2 linked regions of the Kluyveromyces lactis genome follow. The protein of the gene in region 2 interacts with the protein of the main gene of each other region in a biochemical or structural test. Links are inferred from orthologs where the notes say so. Each region holds a gene or a part of one and is shown on either strand. Other genes may lie near its edges.

What was found. The genes of interacting proteins can lie anywhere in the genome.
Region 1: the proteins of ATG17 (region 2) and ATG29 form a complex in vitro, tested with the Saccharomyces cerevisiae proteins (2 studies listed by BioGRID). The link is inferred for Kluyveromyces lactis from reciprocal best matches to the Saccharomyces cerevisiae genes ATG17 and ATG29.

What each region holds. Positions count from the first base shown.
Region 1 is NC_006039.1:856,953-859,856, forward strand, and holds ATG29 (Atg29p), read left to right. Parts: upstream 1-1,452; coding exon 1,453-1,917; downstream 1,918-2,904. Other genes in the region: REV3 (DNA-directed DNA polymerase), read right to left, coding at 1-1,011; SET6 (Set6p), read right to left, coding at 1,906-2,904. UniProt on the Saccharomyces cerevisiae protein: Plays a role in autophagy. Functions at the preautophagosomal structure (PAS) in order to form normal autophagosomes under starvation conditions. Also plays a role in mitophagy and regulation of filamentous growth.
Region 2 is NC_006040.1:231,948-235,532, forward strand, and holds ATG17 (protein kinase regulatory subunit ATG17), read left to right. Parts: upstream 1-1,433; coding exon 1,434-2,705; downstream 2,706-3,585. Other genes in the region: mRNA splicing protein SPP382, read right to left, coding at 1-1,219; threonine--tRNA ligase MST1, read right to left, coding at 2,814-3,585. UniProt on the Saccharomyces cerevisiae protein: Autophagy-specific protein that functions with ATG13, ATG29, and CIS1/ATG31 in response to autophagy-inducing signals as a scaffold to recruit other ATG proteins to organize pre-autophagosomal structure (PAS) formation.

The DNA of each region.
Region 1 (2,904 bases), on a different chromosome or scaffold from region 2:
CAACCTTTCATCTTCTTTCCAATTATATTGTAATTGAGATTCTCGAAATATTTCTTTTAATCCTTCATATTCAGCAAGCCCTTTCCTTTTCCTAAGCAGTTGTATCTCTTTCCATATATCTTTTGTAGAATTAACATATCCTTGATCTGATGTTTGAAGGTCTTTCTTAAGCTCAACAAAATCATGGTGTAAATCCCTGAATTGAATTTCTTCTCTGTTTAAAATGAACTGTGGAATAATATCCATTTCAAGAAAGGTCTTTCCAATTCGATGAAATGGATCTATGTCTAAAACATTTTGATTCGGATGCAAGTGTTTTTTCAAAAAACGTTCCAAAGAGTCCGTGTGCAATATTTCATTCATATCTAGATCAGTTAACAGAACAGGTTGCCGAAAATAGCATTTGGATAGTTTTAACCATCCGCAACCAAATAAGTTATAGTCAGCCATCATTTGCAATAAATAAGGTATATGAGCCTCAAAGACATCCACTTTTGAGGTGAATATTCTGCCATCTCTAAGTAATTCAGAGAGTTTATTACTATATGAACCATTCAAAAGAGTAATTTTATAGTAAGGTTCATATCCTACGTGGTATCCGTAAAATGGAACGCCTTTGACAACGGACACATTAGCAATGTATTTCAGGGAAGTTAGCTTCTCTTTAAAATCTGTTTTGGTAAAAGTTTCAATCATCCGTGTCTCAAGTATTTTGTGCAAACTGGTACATCTATTCCGTATTACTGATGCTTTATCATTCGAATGTCCGTCATATTTGATGAATATGTAAGGGAAAATGCCATGGCAATGAATTAGAACTTTGTGTCCGGTAGATAAACATCCATAGAACCTTAGTACTGGCACCTGAACAAATCGAAGTCCAGGAAGGCTCTTACTAGTTTTACAATCCAATAGAGTTGGGAAGCATTGATAGCTGTCTGAATTATTAATCTGTATGTTGATTTCATTGGAGTCTAAGCTGGAGTCTAAAGAACCAAAAATATCACTCATCTGCAAGTAATCATCATATCAGATTACAGTCACCTTAATGTAGCACAGTTATATCTTCTGATGTAAACGATGTGAATGGTATAAAAGTAATATCCTTGATTAATGGGTGATATACTGTGACCAAACTTCAGATGAGAAATAGCGATGAGCAATCCTGCAAAGTTGGGCTAAACTTGATTATAGTTGGGTATATTAGTATTCATGATTACCCGGATATTGTGATCATTCTGATACGTAATGAATAATCATATTTTAGCTAAAGTGATTCTCGTATACTGGAGTTGTCCGAGATGAAAGTGAGATCTAGTTGAACAACATTCACCGCAAGTTCCTAATCGAATTTAATAGCAAATGTTACTTTAAATTGTTCTAATCTAGATTCTGTGGTATAGGAAGAAATTTGGTGATTCTATAAAATCCACAGTGTGAGGTGTATTTACAATGAATAATGACAACACAAAAGTGTACGTAAGAGTGGCAGGTAAACGACCTGAAAATTTTGTCGAAACAAAACCATTTATTTGGGATTCTCGTCGAGATAAGATTCTATGGACCAAAATCTCAAAAATTGACTCGTTAGAGGATATGGATTGGCAGGAATTGGGGGCTGATTTAGGTGCACCAGAACCCTTTCTCAAAAAACGGAGTTATACTTTATTTCAAAATCAACTAAAAGTTTTATCGAACCAAATAGACGTTACATCTAATACCCGGTCCTCATCAGAGTCACGAAATTCCGTTGACAACAACATTCTCCAAAATTTACAGGCATCAAGAATAATGAATCATAAATTGGATAAGACGGACAACTTAGCCAATAATCAAGAGTCTAGTAGTGAACTTTCGAATTTAAGTGTGAGCAAGTCAGCACTTGAGGACGCATTGATGGATTGTTTACAACTCTGAGAGGCATCTACTACATTTGCATTCAAAAAACCAATTATCCTTCAATATTGCCCTTCTCCGGTTGACGTCAAGGTGTAATATACCCTTGTAATCAATACAGAGCTCTTCTCCCTTCTGCACATCAGTTTGTAGAATGTATTGAAAGACTCTTTCGACCCTCTTTTTCTCCACGTTAGGCACACAGGAATGGTTAAAATATGAGGCCTCCGGATGAACCATATAACCCAGATATTCCCTATCATCGTCCGACTCTGAAGTCTCCCAAATGCCAAATGAGTTTCCATATTCAGAACCAAGGATATGTCTAAAAACTGATGTTGTCATGATATACCTATACTGGGGAGCTAGAGTATAAACCCATTTGAAAACTTTGATCTGAAACTCCAGTAGAACAGGGAATCTCATTATTTTCTCCACTTCATTTGACTGAAGTTTTTCCCACGTATTCCACTTCACACTATTTCGATCCAAATGTGTCATGTTAAATAAACATTCTATCACAAACCTGATACAGGAATAATGATCCTCATCTATCACTGGAAGTTGGTTGGTGGCCTTGGCAAGTTTCATTTTGGAAACTCTAGGCATCCAAGTACTTTCTAAGTCCATCCAACAACTCTCAATTTCCTGATGCATCCGCTTATTATCGTAGTCTTTATACAATTCCGTATCTGTTTCCACGCACAGGCTTTTACCCTGTATCGATTGGAAATGCGTTAATATCATTTCATAATTCAAAATAAGATCAACAATATTCGGTCCACTTAGGAAGAAGTTTTTACACTCTTCAGTACAAAACCAAAGCCCGCTACCTTTGTACTTCTTCTCTAGTTTATGGTTTAACAAGTTCAAATCTAATTTCAGTAGGTCTGCCCAGCTGATCCTAACTTTCATTGGTTTACCACCGTCATATTTCAGGCAAAAATGGCACACTTCCTTACGGAACTCGTGAGAAATACTAGATCCGATCCACTGGGACAAATCTAA
Region 2 (3,585 bases):
CCCAATTTTTCAAAAACTGCTCGAACTCCAGCAGGATAAGTGCTTTTAATGACTTTAAATCCCTTTCTCCCAAAATGAGATGCAACTCGCCGTATGTCACCATGAATTCATCTGACAGAAATTGAGGAGAAAGTTGTATTTCGAGAGCCGGCATAATGTAGCGGGAAAGGAAGTGTTCCCTGCAGCTAATAAAGTCAATAATAGGTAAATACTGAACGGTTATTTGACGTAGCATCCTCGAATATCCGGTATTTGAATCTAACCAATAACATAAGGGTTGATACACCAACCTATAAATGCTGCTTTGTGTTTCGTTCAAAATATATCCAGATTCCATTCTATATGAAAGAAACCTTATTGCTGCCCTCAAATGGTTCAACTTTTCGACCTGCATATCTGCCGTATTAATTCCACGATTAAGCTCTTTGAGCAAGAACATGGTACAGAGCTTATCAAGTATGTCATCGTCATTTATTTCTAGGCATTCAGTAATCTGATCTTCAAGACTTGGTTGCGAAAGTTGTTTTTCCTTGACTTTTTCTAAAACACTTTGTAGCCTTTCCTCTTGGTGTACTTTGCGCTCGTCATCTAGTTGAGCTTTTTCCAAGCCAACTTGTATTCTATCTATGTCCGAATGAAGCTGCAGAAGCTTATTAGCAATTTCATTCAAAGAGGAAATCTCTTCTTCATGTAATTCAGAACCATTGATTGTTCTTGTCACCGTATCAGGTAGTTCTATTTTTAATTCCGCAAGGAGACTTATATTTTGAATCAATTTCTCAAGCTGGGTGGCACGACGAGTCTTAAACTCCACTGTTTTCTTTTTATTTGAACTTTCATCTGATGATGCTGAAGTATTACTATAGTTGGAGTCATCTCTATCATGTACTGCACTTAACATCCCTAATCCGACACCTTTAGGACGAGTGACTGTTTCGATTGGGTTCACTATACCTTTCCCATCTCGTCCTAAACCTTCACCTTGTTTGTAACCCATTTTTGATAAAAGCTTGGCACCCATACCATAGGTCTTTAACATCTGGTCGCTTTTCAATCCATCATTGGAGTTGGCTTGTCGTACCGGTTCATAGTCTTCTTCTTCTTTTTGTTCTTCATTGTCATCGCTATATCCATATGGATCGGTAAATACCATACTATTCATTGTCATACTGATCTTTCTTCTTTTGAACTGATCATCGTCACTGATATGTTCTGACATCTATACTGAATCACTGGAGTAGTAATAGCTGACTTGGAGTGACTGATACTCCTTTCAATCTTTACTCCGATTAATAGGTATTTATTCATACTTTGAAAAGATTTAAAGGTTTGAAGTTCAGTCTTCGAAGTGAAATTGACCGTTTAAGGGTTTCAAATTGGAAACGTTGAAGAGATGAAGATCTTTCGGTTGATCTGAACTGCGTCTACAAGAAATGAGTGATGCTGCAACTACTATACCCAGTGATGAGATAGATAAATTGTGGAATAAGGCGAGAAACCAGCTTGTGGAAGCTCAAGTCGAATGTGAAGAATCATTAAAAATCCTCTCTAAAGTGCGAACTGAAATGGACAGCTCTCAAAAGTCCAGATTTAAACTTAAATTTATACTTAATTGTTTGGTGAACCAGGTTGAGTTCTTCAAGAATATCATGCTCGAGAAATGTATTTCTACAGAGTTGATTGACAATGAATGGTCAAAGCTGGTTTTAGTCGAGATAGTCAATGACGTGAGTTATTGGCAAAACGAGATAACAACAAAGATGAAGATCTTGCAGGGTACAAAATACGACTTGACTGACGATCACAGTAGCCTTTCAGATTTCATATGCATGGATCACGTAGACATACTACAACAAAAAATCGATGAGATTCCTATTATAAAACAACAAGTGACAAACATACGACAACACTACAAATCGATAAAAGATCGAATAGAAAACCAACTAGTGGCTGTAAAGTTGAAAAAACTCAGAACTTACTTTGATTCACATTTCAGCAGGGATAGCAAAAATAATCTATTCAAATTGTTGGAAAGTGATTATGTCACTGAATTGAACGAATTTGAGAATGAACTTGCCGATTTCTTGAGATCAATCACTGATCATTTCGACAAATGCACGATATTGAAGGAACAGCAGATTCCACTACCAGATTTGAAGGAACTTTTCCAGATTGTAAAGAAAGACGATACACAGTTAGAAAATATAAGGGAATTAGTATTCGAAACGGGACTTGAAGTGAAAGCTTTCTCAAAGAAAGTCAATGAAACAATAAGTGAAATAATGGACAAAATTGGTGGATTCCATCTGCTGGCTTCCAAGATTGTGACAGAGTTAGAAAAATGTGAGGAATACTTATCTATCTTCCAAAAGATTGCTAATTTAGTATTCGTTTATAAGGAATCTTGCATAAAAAAGATTGAACAAGTGCAACAACTCTGTGAGTTTTACGATAAGTTCAAATTAGGGTATAAAAACCTTCTACGAGAAAGAGACAGACGGAAAGCCACTGCGTTACAAATGGAGAAAATATTAAAGGAATGTCAGGAGAAACTACAGGCACTGAGTGATGCTGACTTGGACCAACGCCAGCAATTTTTACTTGAAAATGGTGACTATCTTCCCGAAAACATCTGGCCAGGTTATATCGACGATATGGAATCGATGTATAGTTTCGAATATAGCATACATAATGTACCGAATTGACGGTATTGTGTTATTATTGATACATAAGTATACATATTTACAGGTATAAATTATCTTTTACATCGTTATGGTTAACATTACTTTCTGTGGTTCAAAAATTGCAAGGTATCATTTATAATTTTTCTCAAGATCGACGAACCTTTCAAAGACATCATCGATAGTTAGTAAATCCACTTTCTTCGACTCCCTGGTTCTAATCGCCACCTTGCCTGCTTCAACTTCTTTGTCACCAATCATTATAATATAAGAATAATGCTTCTTGATGGCTTCTCTAATTCTTTTACTTACAGATTCATCTCTTGCATCCATATCAACAGAGAAATGGAAGCTGTTGAGTGGAATTGGGCTTTTTGGATCACTATTTTCACCACGTAATGAGTTGACTGTCTTGAAAGCCAATTCCATTATCTTCTCATCTTCAGTCTTCACTGGGATGACCATACATTGGTTTGGATTCAACCAAAACGGCCATTTACCTTTGCTTGAATCAATTAAAATGGCCATGAATCTTTCCACCGAACCGAAAACAGCCCTATGAATCATGATAGGTCTCTTGTAACTATTATCCTTGTCCTTGAATTGTAAATCGAATCTTTCTGGCAATTGAAAATCTAATTGAATAGTGGCGACTTGATGTGATTTGCCTGTATGATCATTGACTAAAATGTCAATCTTAGGACCGTAGAAGGCACCATCTCCTTCATTGGTTGTCCATGGTTGCCCCCACGATTGCAAAGTATCCTTTAATACATCTTCAGCATGATCCCATACTTCAATATCGCCAACGTACTTCTCAGGACGAGTAGAGAGGGTCAATGAGTACGCTGCCTGCTTTGAATCACCCGATATTGGGAACACTTTTGTATAACACATATCCACC